3 linked regions of the Astyanax mexicanus genome follow. The protein of the gene in region 1 binds, or shares a complex with, the protein of each later gene. Links are inferred from orthologs where the notes say so. Each region holds a gene or a part of one and is shown on either strand. Other genes may lie near its edges.

Region 1 (7,475 bases):
AGTATCTCAATATTTCGTCATTAGAAACAGTACATTACCTTGTATATTTATTACCAGTTCTTTAATCCAAGCAGCACCGGGCCCCACATTTAACCTAAAATAATACTTTATCCTCAAACCTCTTTCTGAAATATAATCCAGTGTCTGAGAAGAGATCTGTGTCATATCTGAGTTTCCCCACAGCTGTGTTGACACCAGCCCAGAGCCTTATAAAACACAGGATTTAATGTTTTGAATCATTGATTCAAATTTGCACTCGATTCCTGAAGTGAATCACTCAATAAGTGCCGACTCTACACTCGACGCATTGTGTAGGTTCCTCAAAGAGTCCAAAGAGCAAACAGATCACATGATAATTCACAAAATATCAGCGGATTTTATGGTTTAAATGTCTTCCAAATTTTAAATGTTGACTATCAATGCAATTCTATAAACTTTTTTTACGTTCTTGCTTTTTTCTTTTACATAGTTTCAGTATCTGTTTAGAGATATTTACACAGGTATCTTTAAGTTAAATTTCTTATTTTCCTTTGGCTTCTACAAGCTCGTAAAGCGTTTTGACCAAGCGTACAGCGTCCTAAAGTGTCCAAACACCTTACAGATGTTTGGTTTTCTGGTTGGGAGGGGCTCTCTGCTTAGACAGCTCACAGACAAAGTTATCTATCAAGGAAATTCCAGAAACTTGTTACGTTCTTGCTTGGAATGAAGAACAAACATAGTCACATTGTTCATTTTTTATGTATTTTTACCATGGTATGGTTTCAGTATCAGTACTGAGATATTTAGGCAGGTATTGTATCAAAAGTTATAATTTTGGTATCGCGACAAAACACTACTTGGGATTCACCTAGCTGTCTTCACAGTTTAAAACTCACAATTGCCTCAATGCTGTGTTTAAACAAGCTCAGAGCCTGATATCAACTGTTATTTATCTATTGTATTAAACACTCAATAATAATCTCTCCATTAAAGTTTCTTTCACAGTAAATTTCTGACTGATTTACTGCTTTATTTCTAAGTTTTCAGTTCTGAAGTATAATCCAGTGTCTGAGGAGAGCTCTGTGTTTTCTTTGAGTTTCCGAGTGGCTGTGTTTATGTTTACACCAGATCAGAGCCTCATGAGCTACTAAACAATGTTTAGAATCATTGATTCCGGGGCGCCGAGTGGTCCAGCGGTCTAAAGCGCTGCCACTATGAGCGCTCTCTCCCCACATCACTCCTAGGGTGATGTCTGCAGCACAGGGCGTCTGTGAGCTGATGTACCGGAGCCGAGCCGCTGTGCTTTCCTCCAAGCTCGCTGGCTGCTCGGTAATGCTCCATCAGCAGCAGCTCGAAAAGAAGCGGTGGCTGACTTCACATGTATCAGAGGAAGCATGTGTTAGTCTTCACCCTCCTGGTGTGTTGAGGTATCACTAGTGATAGGGGGAGTCCTAATGAGTGGGTTGGGTAATTGGCCGTGTAAATTGGGAGAAAATGGGAAAAATTAGAAATAAAATTATAAAAAAAAAGAATCATTGATTCCCATTGTGAAAGTTCCTCATAGTGTCCAAACACCAAACAGATCCCAGCAGAATTTAAATTTTAAATGTCTCCCAGCTTTTTAATGCCTTATTTTTCACTTTCCTTACAGCTCACATACAAAGTTAACTATCAAAGAAAATCCATATATGCCAAAATTCATAGAAAGTCATAATTTTGGTATTGAGACAACACTATTTACATTTACATACAAAGTTATCAATCAATGAAATTCCAAAAACTTGATACGCTTTTTTTTGGAATTAAGAACAAACACCGTCACATTGAAAATATTTTTCGTGGTTTGCCGTAGTATAGTTTCAGTACTAGTTACTGAGATATTTAGGCAGATATCACATCAAAAGTCACAACTGTGGTATCATGTCAACAAAAGATCTAGAAAGAAAGGCTAGCGTTAATTACTATAGAGTAAACACTAATAATAATAATCTCTCCATCAGAGTTTCTTTTACATTAAGTTTCTGTGCCTGGTTTATGACTTTATTTCTCAGTTTTCTCAGTTCTCCTCAGTTCGTCTGAGGAAATCTCTGTGTCTTCTCTTGAGTTCTCCAGAGGCCGTGTTTATGTTTTTAACAGCTCATATATCCACATATCCACATATTGAGCCACATATCAAAACTTGGCCTTCTAAACAATGTTTAGAATCATTTATTCTAATTTGCACTCGATTCAAGAACCAATTCTACTCAACCCATTATGTTCTTGCTTAGAATGAAGAACAAACATCTTTTATTTGTTTTTCTGTGGTATTGCTCAATATCAGTATTGAGATATTTAGATATTTGTATTTAGGTATCATGACAATAGTATTTGGAATTCTAAATATGTTAAAAATTGAAGTGAATTTTGAGTTTAGGATGAACTCAGAGTACCTGTTGTTTATATATTAGCTAGGCTAATGTTACTTTAACTACTTTGATTCTGGGCCTGGTTAAGCTAAATAAGTAAAGCTTATATGTTATATATCACTATTAAATTAGTTAGCTTTTAGCTAAGAACGCTTTCTGAGTTCTGTTATTATCTCAAATAAACTGTATAAACAGTCACTAAAACACTGTAGCTAGTTAGCTAATAAGCTAATTAATCAGGTTAAGTTATATAGCAGGATAAGCTAGTTAGCTTTAGCATTAGCTTGAGCATTATCCAGGTATTAGCCCCAGCGGCAGCGGTGGCTCCCAGCCCCGCTCAGGCCGGAGACCCCCTCGCTTTCCCCGGCTGTAGTCCAGCCCAGGCCCGCTGCCCGGTTCTCCGGGTTAAGTACAGCGGGAGACCCGGTGACTCCCTGCCGGGGCGCGGTGCCTCTGCGTCGGCTGCTCACCTGCTTCACCGCCGCGCCGAACTCGAACTCCCCAGCTTCTTTCAGATCCAGCCAGATCATCGGCATCCGCGGCACCGCCTCCATGCCTGCCCGCTGCGGGGTTCAGTCCGGCCGGGTATTGGGGGGGAATAACGCGCGGTTTATCCGGAACTCCGCTGTTTATCTCCTATTCTAAACCACTGTGTCATGTCCATAGGAAACCACCAGTGTTTAGGACATTACGTCGGGCGTGGACTCGACGTGCATTATGGGTAATGTAGTCTTAAGGCTGCGTTCACATTGCTCAGTGTGGCCCAGATCTGATTTTTTCATGGCTGTGTGAACGTGCCAAATCTGTTCACATTGCAAGCCAAATTGCTCAAGTCCGATTTTTTGCTCAGATCGGATTTGTCTATCTTGCTGGTTCACATTCACAAAGTGATCTGTATCTTTAAGTGATCTGTATCTGTGTGTAATGTGAACGAATCTGTCCCTGAAACGCCTCACATGCTGCACATTGATACGTGAATAAACATCTCTTTCCTCACCATCAAAAAAAACGTCTCGTAGCTTTATAAAAGGAAATGGATGCGTTTGTTAGGAGCTCATATGTGGAGCATCTTTTGCTGGAGTGGAGAGTAAACAGCTGCTCTGAAGTTCATGAAAAAATGCCAGGCATTTTGCTTTTGCTGTTTTTGCAGCTATAGATGCACAGCTGCAACAAGACATGTGTGGGTGCGAGAGAGAAGCTAGTAGCACATGCGTAAAAACAAAAAGACGCATAAATTACACCGTTATGATTTGACCGTTCACATTCATGTCACATGTCCGTGAATTGGATACGTATCAGATTTAGGACCTCAGATGATAGTGACTTGAATCTGAATTGAAAAAATCAGATTTGGCACGTTTACACAGACATGAAAAAGCCGGACCTGAGCCACATTGAGCAAAAATTATATTTAAGTCACTTAAATATACAGTCTGGTAATGTGAACGTAACTTTCCATATGTGGTCCTAAATCAGATACGTATCTGATCCATGGACATGCAACATGAATGAGTGTGAACTTCTGGAAGACGCTCTCCAAGCCGTAGATATTTGATTGCCTATCAGTCACGGGCACCTAGAAAATATTCAACATGTTTAATATCTGACTCAGTCGGTAACTGGGAGTCAGGAGCTGCTGCCTCTGTTGTTAGACAACGGATTGTCCTGACAAGTCCAGACCTCAGTGTCATTGAATGTGTTTGGCATGGAACTTCAGATGTAAGAAAAAAATCTCAAAGGGGTAGATTTCAGAACCTTCCACCATCATGTTTAAGCGATGTTGGTTGTCAACATAGGGCTTTCCCACTTTCTCTCCAACTTTGAAACATTTTTTAAGTCCACTTTGGAAAATCCTATTGTTTCCCTGTAACATGTATGTACTGAAGAATTCCAGAAGATGTTGAAATGATTTATTTATTATTATTAAATCAAATTAGTTTATTTTACAGTGAAAATCTTTACTAAACTTAGAGAATGACTTCAAATGTAGACTTAACCTCATCCACTGGCAGACAAAGCAGGAGTGTTTGAATAGAATTGTTTAAGTGCTCCAGTGTCTGCACTTCTTATAGAAAAAAATGTTCAGGACAAGTTTTGGGCAATTGTTCCTATATAACTGCTTTATTTTCTTCAATATGATCTTTATAGGGTAAGATCTGGGCTCTGACTTAGACACTTAGGACAGATTTTTCTTAAGCTGTTGTGTTGTGTACTTAGGGTGGACTTCCGGTGGTTTGGGTCATTGTCTTGCTACATCACCCAATTTCTACTCTACAGAGTTTCAGTTTCACATACAGATACTCTGGTTTTACTTGTTTATAGATGTTTTTATCACATCTTAAAAAGGGGCCAAATACTTTTGCAGATTGCACTTTTTATTTTCTATTTGATAATAGAGCAAATTTATAATTTATATATTTAGTTTCAGTAAATTATAAATACAGCTGTTCTGAGAAGACCTCTGTGGTTTGTTAGAAAACACTAGCGAACAAAGAACATCAAGACGACCAAGGAACTCACCAGACAGGTCAATGATGAAGTTACAAAAACATATCCCAAGCTTTGAACATCCCAAGGAGCTCTGCTCAACCCATCATCCAAAATTAAAGTAAAGAAAAAGTAATCTACACCTTCTATTTCTACAAAACTATGAAGACATGGCCATGGTCCACCCAAACTGACAGATCTAGCAAAGAGAGCACTGGTTAGAGAAGCAGCCGAGAAGCCCATGGTCACTCTGGAGGAGCTGCAGAGATCCACAGCTCAGGTGAATCAGGAGAATCTGTCCACAGGACAACTAATAGTCATGCACTCTACAAATCTGGTCTTTATGGAAGAGTGGCAAAAAGAAAACATTGTTTAAAGAAAACTTAAGAATTGTAGTTTGCGGTTTGCAGCTACAAGTAATGTAGGAACACAGCAAACATGAGGAAGAAGGTTTTGTGGTCAGGTGAGAACAAAGCCACTGTACAATGAACACACTGATTATATTACTGTCAAAAGGTTTGCAGTAAACATAAAATTCATATGAACTATATCAGTGTGATATTCTGAACATACTGTACTGAGTAATCACACATCAGTGGTAAATAAAACAGATGTGGTCAACATACAGGGTAGTTCCTTTTTCAACTCTAACTGCTGATGGTGTGATGATGAACACAGCCCTGTGGTATTTAGGGCCTAAACTTGTTTTTTACACATATATAGCTGTACCCTGGTAACCAGCCTTTAGATCTCACACAGTCACAGAACCTTCAGTAGCTGTTGAGAAGAGGCTCGAGCTCCAGAGGAAGGATGGGAAGGCTGCACCTTCTGGTTCTTATTGTGATCAATTTCACCGGTAAGCATTACTAATCCTTCTCTTTGCCAGGCACTGGCTAGACGGGTTTAAAGCCCCGAGTTTATTTGTATGATTTGGATGTGTTTGGGAGATGGGAGAGAAGTGAGGTGGTGATTCCAAACAAAAGTATTAGATTAGACCACTCTAGCCAATTTTCTAAGGCTTTTATTCAGTTGGTTTTATCCTTTTTGTTTTTGGCGTAAAAATGACGAACATTCAACATTGTTGGTAAAACATTATGTACAAATTTTACTTAAACATTTTTGCAACTTTATTTTTTTTAAGTATAAATTGGTCATTTTTTTATAAAAATCTTAAAACCAGACATTACTTCATAATAAGGTTGCAAAAATGTTGCACTATATTTTTACGTATAACCCACTAAGCATTTTTGTAAGTTTTGCAAAAAAAAAAGTCATAAAAAAGAAGAGTTTTACTACATGCCGTCACTAAGAAAATATTTTTCTTCAGTAAGTAAAATTAAGCTGTTTTTATTGTAAGATGAAAAAGAGTAGGAATTAACATTACTCCTACAACTTAAACTACTTCTACTGACATAAAACAAATTATATAGCAGGTTGTAGTACTTTATCATATATAGTTATTCACATTCATGAAAACACAAGTAAGTTTTAATTTAATTTAACATCAACTTAATTTATAATTCTTTTAAAAAGTATGCTTGGACTGTTGGGCTGGCGGCATTAGCGAATGTATTGGTGGTTTAATACTTGCCCATTTCCTAGAAATGGCTGTGAACTGTGAACATAATTCACTGCAGCACTGTGTCTATAAAATCAACTCAAACTACACAGATGCCTCACACTCTTTAAATAAATAAAAACAATGTGCTTGTTAATAGTGGGGTTTTGAGATAAACAACAACTGGTGTGTATCCCTCCACCATGAATCGGTTTGAAAAAATGATTTACCTGCCAAAAAAACACCACCTACTAGTTTTATATTCTTTTAATCTTTTCAGTTGTGATTTTATTACTTTTTTCAGTTTGTTTTATGTTTTCCATTGAATGTTTTTCAGGTTTTCAGTCAGACAGCAGTTTCTTTGGTGTGAACTATCCTGGACCGATCTGTGCTGTGAGAGGATCGAATGTTAGGATTCCCTGCTCTTATTCCTATCCTTCTTCACATGAAGTGGAAACAGTCCGTTGGTGCTCAATGAACTCGAATGAAGGATGGTGTGCTGATCCACCGTATGTTTATGACAGCAGCTCTAACAGCGCTTCAGAAGGATTTAAGTACATTGGAAACAAACAGTCAGACTGTACTTTATTAATCAGTAATGTACAGTTCAGCCATTCTGCAGAGTATAAATTCAGATTCAGAACTAATGTGACAGGTGGCCGATGGACAGCATATGCTGGAGTGACTCTTCAAATAGGAGGTAAATATTCACTTAACATAAACCTTCTCATCATTTAAACTAAAAAAAACACCAATAGTACATCATCTCTGAGCTAAACAATCTTACAAATTTAGTGTATAAAGTAGTGTTTAAATGTGAATGTTATTGTGATGGTAAATTTCCAGTCATTTCTTTGAACTTTTATGTGTCTATAATAAGTATTGTAAAAAATATTAGAACCAGCGCTGAAAACCTTTGTATTTTTGAACATACTCTATTTAAATATATGGACATCTGTGCTATGTTTGAACAATATTGAGATGTAGAACATATGAGAGCATATCAAGTGTATTTATGACTGTATAACTATAGACTGGTAATT
Region 2 (7,417 bases), on another chromosome or scaffold:
CATATTATTATTTGGCATTGCACAAGGCATTGCACATGCGCAAGTTGGGATGATAATTCTGAAACAATATGTTGTGAACAATAAAAGAGAAAAATAATATAAACTAGAGCTGGGCTTTTACTAATTTTGGAATATTAAAAATATATTAAATACTGTTTTTCTTAGGAATCTGCTGTTACATTTGGCCAGAATGTCAAAATATTGACAGTTTTTTTGTGTATCATGACAATGTCTTAAAATATTGTGATACAATATGTTTTACAATATCGCTCAGCTTTAATTTAAAACCCAGGGAGAAAAATATATGTATTTTCTTATTATTATTTGAGATTATATGCTGACTTAAGTTTTATTGTTTTTTTCTAGATAAAAATAGTTTTTTTTCTTAGACACAGCGAACTATACACAAAACTATAAGATATTACACTTATTTATGTGAACTTAATATAGACACTAAATGTAAGATCACATCATTTTTCACCAGAAATTCAGTTGTGATGTATTATTTAGATTAGTGACTAACAGAAGGTTGATTTTATTCAGGAGCTGAGTTTCAGAAACAGGAGAAATCTGCAAAAATTTACTAAATTTCGCTCAAATTCAACAAAAAACTAAACCATGCCTAAACAGAACTACTGTACATGTGGGCAGATCTACTTTTCTGTGCGGAGGAAAGACCCCCCCACCTCCAGACCTCCTCCCACCTTCTCCTTCCCCTTCCTCTGGAATTCCACATTTCCACACGCTAATAAACAACATAAACAATGTAAATAACGTGTTTAATCTAATAACATTAAAATAATAAAGAGAGAAATAGCAGAAATAAGCAGGTCTACCGTCATTATTAAAAGTTTAAAACAGTCCAGTCTGCACTTTAATCTACATCCGCCCGCAGGCAGTCTGAAAAAGCGGGACCCGGTCAGATCCAGCGCCGTAATAATAAACAGCACAGCTCTAACTCATCCCTCCGCGCTCTTAAACACCATATAACCCGCTAACGCTGCGCTATAAAGTCTGATTTAGTGAAGTTAATGTGTTTATATAAAGGTATTTACCTGTACAGGTTGGATTCAGGTGTTTAAGCGCTGTATTTTCTCTGTTCTCGGGGTTTATAAGTTAGCAGCAGCAGCAGCAGCTCAGCCAGAGGTTTGGAAACTCGAACCACGTGACCGGCCGATCCCTGCCTCTGACGTCACGGACTGAAACTCTGTACCTGAAGCGGGAAGTGAAGAAGCTCCGCCCCAAAACTGATGATTAAACTCCGCATGTCTTACCTGTTACCTGTGTTATCCGTGTATGTCTACCTTCACACAGCAGGTAAAATTGGCCAAATTCTACGTTTATTTTAGGCTGTTTGTGTGCATGACAGAGCAATGCTTCACGTTAAGATTCACTTTAATCCAGAATAACATAAATCACAATCACACAAGCTATGAATAAGTTCAGCTGCAAAAAAGTGGCCTTTTTGTCGCTTCACCTATAAAAGTCGTAAAAATTCCGATCTGCCCGTTCACACTGAGTTGCAATGGAGCAAATCGGACATGTATTGGATTTCAATACCACATATGAAGTGGCCCAGATCAGAATTGTATCACATACGATATAAATATGATGTTAAGGTCAGATTTGGGCCACATTTACCTGCTGTGTGAACAAAGCCCTATTATTTGTGGTAGTCAAGTCAAGTCAAGTCGAGAGGCTTTTATTGTCATTATATCTGAGTACACAGTGTTGTGAAATTACATTCCTCCGGAACCACGGTGCAACACGGGACAACAAACAATAGACAACATAGTGTCTGTATTACAGCTAGATGTAGATGTTTGATAAAGAATTTACTTGTTTATGTAATAACTTGTTTCTATTATTTGTTGCATGCTACTTATTTTGTGCATGGGCACCGCTTAAAAGCTCTTTAGCTTCTTAGGGTGTCCCTTTTCACATAATTTAATTGTTAAAAATTGCTTTGACACTTGTTGCTTAAACAGATGTGTGATTAAAAGCATGATAGATACTTGTTACTTGGCCTGATCAGCTTATTATAGAGTTATATTAGATGAAGCTGTGATGTTGAGAGTAATAGAGGGGTTTCTCTGCGTGTTTATAATCAGTATTTACAGTATGTAGGTCACTGGCCCTGATTATGGCTTTCTTAATCTGTTATGGCTGGACATCATTTTTCCAGCAGCCCTGGATCTCTCATATTTCTGTAAAGTGGACCAGCTCTGATCCCACTCTCAGCTCTTTAAACAGAAAACTCTATAATAATCTTTTTATCAGGATGGGTGTGTCTGTGCTGAGAAAATTACTGCAGCTAATAAAGATGTAGGATAGGGACTACATTGCTTTGCTTAACACACAAACACACACACTGGTTTTGTTTTTTTTGTGAGGACTTTTCCACTCACATCTTCACTCTTTTTTTTTTTTAAACAATATTTGTATATTTATGTATATATATGTTATATATATATATGCTAATGCTAGAAATGACCTGCACTGGAGCTCAGTGTTGTTGCAGTTTATCACCTGGCCTGCAGAGGGCAGCAGTTTAGTCCTTTTAGACTTGTCATGTCATTCTTACTCATTATTTAGAGTTATTAAGTCACTATTTGGAGACATTAGCTCGTTATTTCTGTATAATATCAAATATGTTCGAGATAATATGTTTTTGTTTCAGATATTGACATGTTTTGAGAAATTACCATTTTGAGATGCAGTATTTTTAGGCATTATTTTGAGTTTAAAACCTAAATCTATTAATTCTGAGATATCATATCGTAGTTTTGAGATATTGTCATTATTAAGAGATAACAAAATAATAAATACAGCACGTATTTATTTCCTGCCTGCTGTTATACAAAATCTATAAATTATATTAGTTGAAATTTGTGCACACATTTGCCTATTTCTGTGAAAATTATAGCATAGTCGTGCATTATTAGTATAGAACATTCTATTTAATTCAAAAGCCAATATAGTTTAAATTTGATTAGCTTTTTACGAAAAATCCTGGAAAGTTTAAAGATAGATAGAAATATGAACATAAAATCATAAAAAAATGTATTATTATATATTATGATATAGTATAGATTGTGGGGAAATGTACTCATCTGTAGAACATGATCAAATACAAAATCTAAAGGATCTTTTACAACAATGTTTTGTTTCCACTGCTCTTTTAGTTTATTAGATTATTAAACGTAAAATCCTGTAATCTTACTGTACCACTTCAGTCCACAAGCTTCTCTCACATCCAGGGATGCATTTCTTTGCATTTCTGCTTGTCTAGAAATGCATGTGTACAGCATGTCCTTAAGGGGTGGCTCTAAGCATGAGTTACAGTTTCAATTTAGTTTATTATGATTTTTGGTGTTTTACTGGGAAGGCCTCTCAGAAATGGAACACAGATTCTATATTCAGAATATTTGGCACCAATAATAAAATCCTTTTCCAAATATACATGGAAAATACTGAATAAATGATTGACGGCACATTTACAGTATATAGTGCTGGCTGCCCATATCAGTGCTGATTACAAAACACCTCTATCACTACTGACCTCCATTGTTTATCACAGAATAATAAAAGATTCAGCAGGGAGTGGAGATTTATAAGGTTATAAGGCCCTATGTCTCTGCAAACCATCACAGATTGGTGGAAACTCGAGCAGTTTGGACTGTGTGTCTCTCCACTCTTCCTCCAGACTCTGCTCCCTTAACTTCCTTTAAATAAAATGTAGAATTTACTGATGATCAGTGATGGTTTGGAGAGACATGTCTGTCATCTGCTGGTGTTGATCCACTGTGTTTTATTATCAAGTCTAAAGTCAGTGCAGTTTTGTTTTCCCACAAAATCTTACAGCTCTTCATATCTTACAGCTTCCCTCTGCTAAAAACAACTTTTATGGAGATGAGGATTTCATTTTCCAGCAGGACTTGGCACACTGCCCACACTGCCAAAAGTACCAATTGGTCTTATATAATATTCTAATTTTCTGAGACACTGATTTTATGGGTTTTCATTGGCTTTAAGCTTCATAATCATCAACAATAAAAGAATAGATCACTCTGTGTGTAATACATCTATATAATAAGCTTCACATTTTCAACTGAATTACTGAAATTTATTAATTTGTTTATATTAGTGTAGTATGTGTATGTATGAGTGAGTATATATGTGTTTATTTTAGTTTAGTGTCTGTGTGTTTATAAGTGTGTAAATATATATATATATATATATATATATATATATATATATATATATATATATATATATATATATATATATATATATATATATATATTGTGTGTGTGTGTCTGTGTGTGTGTGTTTATATTAGTTTAGTATTTATGTGTTTATGGGGACGCTGTAGCTTTAAGGGAGTTGCTAACCTGCTAGCGGGAGCACACCGGCGCTCTTACAGCAGCAGAACTGGAGCAGCTGCGGGATTTCTGAGGAATAAACCCGCTGTTAGCCGCTGTCCGCCCCTTCAGAACCGAACCGAGTGGACCTGGCACCGCTCTGAGGACCGGGGACTGAACTATGAGGCATTTTACGGTAGATATCCCGCGGAACCGGGGCGGAGATCTGACCGGGGCTGTTTGGGTGAACGGTTAGCCGGTTAGCCGCTAACAGCTAACCCGGGTTATTTAATGCTGAGTGTAGCTCAGTTAGCCGCGCTAAGCTAACCTACTGCTAACTGTCCTGCTTCAGCTAGCGACAGATTTATCTCCAAACAGCTAACCCAGACAAATAACACTATTTAATAACATTACTTATATTTAAGTATTTATTCAGGATCAGACAGTACATATTAATACATATTACTACATATGTGTGTATGTGAGTGTGTATATATTAACCTATACAAGCTGTATCTGTGTGTTTATATTAGTTTAGTATCTGTGTTTACGAAAGTGTGTATATACGTGTGTATGTTCAGTACATTAGTTTAGTAGCAGTGTTTACAAGAGTGTATATAAGTTACAGCTCTGTAAAAATAAAGAGACCCCTTCAGTTTCTGAATCAGTTTCTCTGATTTTGCTATTTATAGGTTTATGTTTGAGTAAAATGAACATTGTTGTTTTATTCTATAAACTACAGACAACATTTCTCCCAAATTCCAAATAAATATATTCTCATTTAGAGCATTTATTTACAGAAAATGAGAAATGGCTGAAATAACAAAAAAAAAAAAGATGCAGAGCTTTCAGACCTCAAATAATGCAAAGAAAACAAGTTCATATTCATAAAGTTTAAAAAGGGATAATTTTATGCCACTTCTAATGGTTGTGATCATCCATCTTCCTCTTAATTATTTCCAGAGCTGTATGTGTGTTTATAGTATTTGTTTTAACATTAGACCTGTTTAGTTCATTATTTAGGGTTAATCAACGGTTTCCTCTGACTCACACTGCTGTGATTTAGCTGGAGATGTTTAGTTTAATATTTTACCTGCTGATAAACATCTTTCTGATTGTGTTGTTGTTCAGTTCGCCTCTAAAGTAAAGGGGAATCTGATGTCCAGCTGACTGACTCACTGACTGACTGACTGACTTCGTAGTTAATTAACCCCAACCTTCCTCCAGTTCTCTATTATTAGCAGAGAAGTTGTTAAAGCTCAGCCTGGAAGAGGTTCTGGCTGTAGCTCCGTGAGGAAAAGAAGATTATCTGAATTTAGAAAGCTTGCTGCACTAAATGTTTGATGAAGAAACCCAAAAAAACACAAAACATTTCCAAAATTAGCTATACTGTAGGTCCAGTGATCAGGAGTTGACAGTTCAATAGCTGGTAACAGTATAATAAATTATTAATATTAGCTATTACAGTTTTTGTTTGAATGGCAACTATGCAGTGAACTAGGTTAACTAAGATAGCTATTATATTAAGGAGAGAAAACCATCCTGTCCAGTAGGGTAAAAAAAATAACAGGTAAAAAAAACAAAATAGAGATAATAGATCTATGGAAACTAATAAAAATAAATAAAAAATGGCTTAAATCAATACATCTCCATGTAGCGTGGCCCTTTTCATGCATACAATAAATATGTCAGGAAGTATTGGGTAGAAATATGTAGACCTCGGCCCAATGCTGGTGAATTTTTTGCTGATCTCGATATAATTACGATATAATTGTGCGTCTCTAATTATGTTACAGTATTGTCAGTATGTGAGTGGCATAAAATGACATAAAGATTGACTAGAAAAGTAGGAATTGAATTGTAGGAACAGATTTTAAACCACATTAGCCATAATAGACCATCTGAAACTAGCTACCAAAGCTGCTTTTGAGCTGGATTTTTAGACTTCAGGCTATCAAGATAACTAGTTTTTTGTAAGATATACATTAAATGTTATGTTGTAGGATATGATCATGACATGTCTTAACTTCTGAATCCATGTGTTCACCTCTTTCCACAGGGGTGATAGACGCATATAGTTGCCCTATAGGATGGACAGCTATTTTAAAGCTGCTGTGTGTGACCTGGACAAGCTTTTGGACGACTTTGAGCTGAACTCAGGTGAGATGATCTCCTCTTCTTTCATTGTAGTGTAGCGTACTGTGTTGTACTTTAGTGTAGCATAGTGTACTGTAGTGTAGTGTACTGTAGTGTAGTGTAGTGGAGTGTATTGTACTGTAGTGTACTGTAGTGTAGTGTAGTGTACTGTACTGTAGTGTACTGTACTGTAGTGTACTGTAGTGTAGTGTAGTGTAGTGTAGTGTAGTGTAGTGTAGTGTAGTAACCCGTGGGAGAATGAGAACATGCAGCAGTTCTGTTGTGATTAATTACCGTGTCCACTCTGAAGACACAGTTATTGTCCTTTATTGAACCCAGAGTTTGTATGGAGACTAACGTGCTTATTGCAGAACAGCAGCGCTGAGGTATTCATAATAACTGCTGAGGTCGGAGAGCACTTAATAGCATTGTTCACAACTGGCCTTGTGTGGTCTGTTAAATGGATGGTCTGTTAAAGTACACGTGCGAGTAAGTTTTTTTTGAGATCTTTGTTAAGATGACGGTACCTACATAGAAAATATATCTGCACTGTTCTCAGTATAAACTCAATTTTGTGGTTTGGATCGTTGCCTCGCCAGAAAATCAATCGGCAGCCCAATTTTAGCTGCCTGACCGAGGGAGTCCGTTTTCATCCTATGCTGCCCCAGAACTTAACACTGTCTATATTATCATGTAATTTAAATAATTAAATAAAAGTCCTTTTATACAGCTTTGAAGTTTTTGAATCAGTTTCTCTGATTTTGCTATTTATAGGTTCATGTTTGAGTATAATTAACATAATAACCTGGTGGTTTTTAATCACAGTTTTCATGCATCTTTGCATCATGTTCTCCTCCACCAGTCTTACACACTGCTTTTGGATAACTTTATGCTGCTTTACTCCTGGTGCAAAAATT
Region 3 (7,196 bases), on another chromosome or scaffold:
ATTTCTAAAAAAGATATATACATGACAGTTTCCATTATCTAGTTAATAGGTTTTTACGTATATACATATCTATTAGGGGTGTGTCATATCGTAAGGAATAATATCACCAACATTTTTGAATATCGTGAACGATATTATACCCTGAAATATCATACCATATCACGCATCCCTAATTATCACATCAGGGTTCTACTTTTTTTTTTTTTTACTGTTTTTATCAAAAGAAAAATTCACACTGTTCTTATTTCCCATTATATATCTACTAGAGACAGATTATATCTGTGCAGTATCATTTATTTTACTTTAATCCTGGATATATGGAGATATTTGGAGTGTATTATTATTAGAATCATGACATTCTGTCAAGCCTTATTGACTTCTGTTACAAATCTGATAAAAATCTTGTATTTGTTAATATCTCGGTTAGGGGTGTGCCATATCATATCGTATACAATAATAAAATTTAATTTTCATTTTGTTGCAGTAGTGTATTCTTGAAATAATTTTTTATTTAGTATTTTGACATATCGCCAAGAGTATAGTCATTACAAAAAAACATAAAATATTGTCATATTATTTATTATTTTAGGGCCATATCGCCCACCTCTAATATGGGATTGCAGGGCTTTTTGACTACTATTTGGTTAATATATTTCTGGCAAAATCACAAAAGTTTTACATGGAAAATGCAGATATGTAGGTTTCTAACATATCTAAAGCCTATAACTTAAAAAAGCTAGCTAGCTAACTAGTCAATGACATTTGTTTACCTTAAATAAAATAAATAAAATAAAAAGTATATTTCAGGAGTTATAAAATATGCTTTATGCTAACTTTACGATTTATTAAAGCGAAATATCTTCAGTTATCTAGCTTTCTTTCCTAGAAAAGCCATAGTTAAGTGCTGTGAAAACTGCGGTATAAAATTAGCAAACTTAGCTGACAGTTTGACCTCAGAACTGAATTCCCGCGCTTTTATATGAACAGCGCGTGACCCCGGCGCGTGACTCTGGGCTCGTGACCCACTGCGCAGATCCGCTGATCTGTAGCTCATATTATGCACCACGTCTTGGCGATTATGATTTATAGATCATTAGATCTGCCGTCTGGATTTAAAATTAGGGATTTTTTATGATTTTTTTTTATGTAAAAGGCACAATAATATCTGACTGTAAATAAAATGTATGTAAATACAAAAATAAATATAAAAATGTAAAAAAAAAAAAAAGATAACTAAAATGCTCATATGGCCTCCATCATTTCTATAAACTAATAAACATTTCAACACTTTCTTAAAATAAACTAATTTTATCAAATGTTTCAGGTAAAAGACAAAAATGTAGAGATTAAATAATTTTCTAGAGTTTAGATGTTTTTAATTGTTCTATAAGAAGGAAAACCAATACTACTTTTAAATCTTTACTAATAAGTTGTGCAATGGATTCTACTAGTTTTTATATGCAGATCCAAATGTGCAGTATACTGTATATACAGTTTGGTTATTTTAATATAAAGTTAATTATACGTTTTAAAATGTAAAAAAAAAACAGGTTGAACATGATGTATAGATCATTAAATCTGACATCTGGGTTTAAAATGAGGGATTTTTATGATTCTTTGTTAATGTGAAGAGCACAATAATATCTGACTGCTAATAATATTTATGTAATTAAAAAAATAAATATCAAAGATTCGAAAAATGTGGCCTCCATTATTTCTACAACCTACTAAAATTTCGACATCTTCCTAAAATAAACTAATTGTTTTTACCCAAAAATGTACCAAATATTATGGCATAAAAGTATTTTTCTAGAGGTTAGATGTTTTAAATTGTTCTATAGAAAGAAAACCAATACTACTTTTAACTTTTCATCAAACAACATGTATTCTATTGCTTTTTATACAGATCCAAATGTGGCGTATACTGTGAATAGAGTATTGTGATTTTAAAATAAAGTTAATTTTTATATAAACAAGTTTTAAAATGGTAAAAAAAATTTTTTGAGTATACTTCATTTTGTTCTGTGTAATTTCTCATTTCTGGTGTCATTTAATTAATTGTATCCCTGTCATCCATATTTATTCAGTGGGCGTTACTGTTTAGTTTACAATGCAGCTCCAGACTTCACAAATAACTAATTAATATTCTAGAATAAAATTACCTCCAAAGGCTGTGGTATTGAATATAGGACTGGTAACTCTGATAAACTTATTCTGTGCAACAGAGGGAACTCTTGCTCTTGATAAGTGCCAGTTTCATCATAAGGTTTCTGGTGGTCTTTGCGACTGCACTTTGTACTTTCAGTTCTTGACATTTTTCAGACTGCCTGACCCTCATATGTTTTTCTTCATAGTTTGGATGACTTTAGTATTAATCTACAATGCAGAACATTTTAAAATGATGTGAAAACACTGAATTTACAGTGTGTATGAATTCTGTGTGTATTTTGATTCTGCATATTTCTCCTTTCTGGTATAATGATTAATGATTATATTCTATGTTGTTATACGTTACATAACTTTTTGAAAAAAAAATGTAATACTTAGTAACTTATTAATATTTCAGGATAAAAATTACCTTCAAAGGCTGTGGTCTCGAATATAGGGCTGGTAACTTTGATGAACCTATTCTGTGCAACAAAGGAAATTCTTGCTCTCTTGTTTTCTTGGGGCAGTCCTGATGAGAGCCAGTTTCATCATCATAATGTTTTTGATGGTCTTTGTGGTGACTGAAATGGAGGATACCTTCAGTTCTTTAACATGTTTTTGTTCATAGTTTGGATGAGTTTAGTATTAATCTATCTACAGTACAGAACATTTCAAAATGATGAAAAATGATGAAAAAACACTGAATTTAAGGTGTGTGTGCCAACTTTTGACTGATTTAGTATCCTGTATGTCCTTTTTTTCTGCATATTTTCTGTATTTTGTTTTCTGATATCAATTAATAATTATATTTTAAGTTCTCAAAGTCAAAGTCAAAGTCAAAGTGGTTTTTATTGTCATTTCAGCTATATAAAGAGTACACAGTGAAACGAAACAACGTTCCTCCAGGGACCATGGTGCACATAAACACAGTGTAGACAGAACAATAGTGCAACAGTACAAAAGTGCAGACAGACAATACAACACCATACAGACAAAGAATAATAAATAACAAGACAGTGTGCAAATTATGCAGTGTGCAAAAAAGACCAGGTGAGGTAGTAATTACCTCTATTACACAGTGTGCAATAGAGTCCAGTGAGGTAGTAGGGTTTTTAGTGCTTTCCATTTTCTGGGGTAAGTGGGGTAAGAGTGTGTGTGTGCATGTACAGAAAAACCATCAGTTCAGTCTTTGCAGTTAAGGAGTCTGATGGCTTGGGGGTAGAAGCTGTTGCAGAATCTGGTCGTGCTGGACCGGATGCTGCGGTACCTTCTTCCCGAAGGCAGGAGGGAGAACAGTTCGTGTGAGGGATGGGTGGGGTCATTCACAATGCTGGTTGCTTTGCGGATGCTGCGGGTGGTGTAAATGTCCGTGATGGAGGGGAGAGAGACGCCGATGATCCTCTCAGCTGTCCTCACAATACGCTGGAGGGTCTTGCGGTCAGAGACGGTGCAGGTCCCAAACCAGGCAGTGATGCAGCTGCTCAGGATGCTCTCAATGGTCCCTCTATAGAAGAGTGTGAGGATGGGTGGAGGGAGACGGGCCTTTCTCAGCTTCCGGAGGAAGTAGAGACGCTGCTGGGCTTTCTTGGCTGTAGAGCTGGTGTTCAGGGTCCAGGTGAGGTTATCTGCTAAGTGGACACCAAGGAACTTGGTGCTCTTAACAATCTCCACAGAGGACCCGTCGATGTTGAGTGGAGAGTGGGTGTGTTGTGCTCTCCTGAAGTCAACAACCATTTCCTTTGTCTTGTCCACATTCAGGTGAAGGTTGTTGACTGTAAACCAGTCTGTCAGTTATACGTTACATAACTTTTTGAACGAAATAATAAAATGAATATATAATAACTTATTATTATTCCAGAATAAAAAAATACTTTCAAACATTGCCAATATTTGTAAGCACCGCCTCCTTTTCAACCCCACGCCCACAACCCCGCCCACGGGCGGAGCCAAATGCGTCACTCCTCGGCTTACAACCTACAAAGCAGTGAGTAATTACTCCAGGCCCCGCCCCTTTCTGATGCCGCGCTGTAGCAGCGCTGCCTCGCGCTCCCCGCTCTAGTTTAGAGGCCATCTTTACAGCCCGTGGGCCTGCAGCGGAGAACCGGAGACCCGCGGAGCGTCCACGCAGCTCAGCCGCCGCAGGGTGAGCTCAGAGCGGCCACAGCGGCTGGATCGCCCCGCTGAAGGAGCCGGAGCTGGAGGAGGAGCTGGAGCTGCTGCATGGCTGCGCTGCGCTGTGAGTGACTGAGGATGGCCACTGCAGCTGCGGTGAGTTAGTTAGAGAGCCAGGCAGCCTGGCACACTGATAATCGATCGTTTTCCGATAGATGATCAATCGATTTGATTAATTTTAATCCCCGGATCACCTTCACGGTGTCATTTTACACAGAGAAAGAGAGGCTGCAGCAGAACAACACAGGCTCTCACCCTGCTTTACTGCTGGATTTCTCAACAATCCGGATCATTAGCTGGAATAATTCGCTTTAAATCCACATTTTTAAACATTTTACATCCTTATTAACATACCACACAAGCTCCAAACCCTTTAAAACAGCCTGTTTTTATGTGATCAGCTGTAGAAAACGCTCAGGAAGAGGTCAAGCTCCAGCCAAAGTTTATTTACTCTAGCTCTAAGCTAGGCTATAACTGGCTAATGCTGTGGTGCAACACTGTTATCTAGAGGTTAAACCCTTTTAAAACCTTTTTAAACCCTTTAAAATGCTTTATTTTACTGCGTAGAACTAATTGTAAGTGTTTACTAAGGCTGTAAATGTTTATTATCTGGTTTCCAGGTTTTGATCCATGATAATACCATGCTATTTTGAAGTTGGATGCTATCCATGCTGTGGAATATGGAGCTCAACTGTTACATAGTTTTATCTTTTAGGTTTGACGTTTAAAAAAATAGTATACCAGTAATCAATTATGTATTGTTTGCATACACTGTAGTAGTACTACAGTAATCACACCCTGAATAAGGGCTGCAACTCATGATTAATTTGTTAGACAGCTAATCTGATGATTGTGTTGTTTGTTATTTTGAAGTTGGATGTCATCCCTGCTGTGGAATATGGAGCTCAACTGTTATTTCTTGTTCTCGTTTTATCTCTAGAAACAGCTGAAATGGGATTTAAATTCCCTTAAATTGTCCAAAACGTTGCTCTTTAAATGTGGAAAGTGCTGCTATTTATTGAGGAAATGTGTATTCTGTTGAATTTGGGCCCTTTTGGAGACGTAGACAGAGTTGAGTGTAAACTGTTTGATTTACCCAGTACTGTTTTACTGAATAGAACTACTTTTAAGTGTCTACTATGGCTACAAATGTTTATTAACTGGTTTCCATGCTGTCATCCATGATAATGCCATGCTATTTTGAAGTTGGGTGCCATCCATGCTGTGGAATATGGAGCTCAATTGTTACTTCTTACATAGTTTTATCTCTTAGGTTTGACATTTAAATTTTAGAGTACGGTAACCAATAATGTATATTTGAATACACTGTAGTAGTACTACAGTAATCACACACTGCTGAATACGTGGCTGCAATTAGGGCTGCAACTAATGATAATTTTGGTAGTTGACTGATTTGACTATTATTTTCCTGATTAGTCGATTTGTAGATTATTTCTGCTTCCTCTGGGAATGGCTTCGGTTTATAGCTTCCTCTGTCTTCGCTTCAAATCGCTAGAAACAGCTGAACAAGGGATTTAAATACACTTTAAATGTGGAAAGTGCTGCTATTTATTGAGGAAATGTGTATTCTGTTGAATTTGGGCCCTTTTGGAGACATGTTGAGTGTAAACTGTTTGAGTGTCCCCAGTACTGTTTTGCTAAATAGAACTACTTTTAAGTGTCCGCTAAGGTTACAGATGTTTATTAACTGGTTTCCATGCTTCGATCCATGATAATACCATGTTATTCTGAATTATTTTGAAGTTGGATGCCATCCATCTTGTGGAATATGGAGCTCAACTGTTATATCTTTTTATTAGGTTTGATATTTTAATTTTAGTATACGTATTGTACAGTAATCAATATTGTATATTCGCATGCACTGTAGTAGTACTACAGTAATCACACACTGAATTAGGGCTGCAACTAATGATCAATTTGGTAGATGGCTGCAACTATTGAATATTTTGTTCGTCTACTTATCTGGCGATTATTTTTTCCGATTAGTTAACGATTATTTCTGCTTGCTCTGGGTATGGTTCCTGTTTCTAGCTTTCTCTGTCTTCGCTTCAAATCGATAGAAACAGCTGAACAAGGGATTCAAATGCCTTTCAAATGTCCAGAACGTTGCCCTTTAAATGTTTAAAAATGCTGCTATTTATCGAGGAAATGTGTTGAGGTAACCTGTTGAATTTGGGCACATTTTGAGACACACAAAAAAAAGAAGGAATAAAGTGTTGTTTGATTAATAATTTAAACAATACTCAATTATTGATGTGTTCTTCAGCATGCTAACGCTAGGTGACAAAGATCACCACCTCTAAGCTATTTACGTGCCGTTAAAATTACTGCAATCAGTTAAATCAAACAGATAAGATGTAAACTAGGCCCAAAGCAATAGTTACATCAGTGAGTTATCATAAAATAAACATGCAAACATAATCTCAGTAAAAATCCACAACAACACTGTTTAATACCGTAATATGAGATTGCTGTGTTTAATACTAATAATCCTTGCTTAAAAAGCCTGTGGGTGGATATATTTATGGATGTATACATGTATTGATGAGTACATTCATGTCTGGATAGAAATATTAGTAAATATATTGACCAATATACAGTATAGGTGGATGTACTGTTGGGTAAATCAATGTATTTATGGATGGAATTGTGTAGAAAAGTATACTGATGGTTGGTTGGATATATCAATGGATACATGGATGGAAGGATGGATATATTGAAATACAGATGCATGGACAAATAAAAATGGCTATATACTGTAGGTATCAAAATATATGTTTTGATTAAGACTGTATTTAGGTGTATGTACTGATGGCAGAATCTACATATAGTAGTCATAGGATACAAATTTGTAT

What was found.
Region 2: the proteins of ptpn23a (region 1) and zfyve16 are in contact, whole or in part, in a crystal structure (PDB 5MK0), measured with the Homo sapiens proteins. The link is inferred for Astyanax mexicanus from reciprocal best matches to the Homo sapiens genes PTPN23 and ZFYVE16. Residues at the interface, in NP_056281.1 of Homo sapiens: Phe62, His125, Glu137, Glu138, Lys141, Val142, Cys144, Thr145, His146, Gln148, Cys149, Leu189, Lys192, Ser193, Asp196, Arg198, Lys199, Phe201, Leu202, Arg205, Ile206, Ala336, Leu338, Leu342, Asp348, Ala350, Val351; in NP_001098721.2 of Homo sapiens: Asp2, Tyr4, Phe5, Ala8, Val9, Leu12, Asp13, Leu15, Leu16, Asp17, Phe19, Glu20, Gln21.
Region 3: the proteins of ptpn23a (region 1) and zfyve9a are in contact, whole or in part, in a crystal structure (PDB 5MJY), measured with the Homo sapiens proteins. The link is inferred for Astyanax mexicanus from reciprocal best matches to the Homo sapiens genes PTPN23 and ZFYVE9. Residues at the interface, in NP_056281.1 of Homo sapiens: Phe62, His125, Glu137, Lys141, Val142, Cys144, Thr145, His146, Gln148, Cys149, Leu189, Lys192, Ser193, Asp196, Arg198, Lys199, Leu202, Arg205, Ile206, Ala336, Leu338, Leu342, Asp348, Ala350, Val351; in NP_004790.2 of Homo sapiens: Glu2, Tyr4, Phe5, Gln6, Glu8, Ala9, Leu12, Asp13, Val15, Leu16, Asp17, Phe19, Glu20.

The regions. Positions count from the first base shown.
Region 1 is NC_064408.1:124,231,731-124,239,205, forward strand, and holds the start of ptpn23a (tyrosine-protein phosphatase non-receptor type 23), read right to left. Parts: upstream 3,081-7,475; 5' UTR 2,942-3,080; coding exon 2,858-2,941; intron 1-2,857. UniProt on the Homo sapiens protein: Plays a role in sorting of endocytic ubiquitinated cargos into multivesicular bodies (MVBs) via its interaction with the ESCRT-I complex (endosomal sorting complex required for transport I), and possibly also other ESCRT complexes.
Region 2 is NC_064427.1:615,826-623,242, forward strand, and holds the start of zfyve16 (zinc finger FYVE domain-containing protein 16), read left to right. Parts: upstream 1-4,378; 5' UTR 4,379-4,560; intron 4,561-6,423; 5' UTR 6,424-6,454; coding exon 6,455-6,524; intron 6,525-7,417.
Region 3 is NC_064411.1:57,255,098-57,262,293, reverse strand, and holds the start of zfyve9a (zinc finger FYVE domain-containing protein 9), read left to right. Parts: upstream 1-4,157; 5' UTR 4,158-4,416; intron 4,417-4,442; exon of another isoform or gene 4,443-7,196. UniProt on the Homo sapiens protein: Early endosomal protein that functions to recruit SMAD2/SMAD3 to intracellular membranes and to the TGF-beta receptor.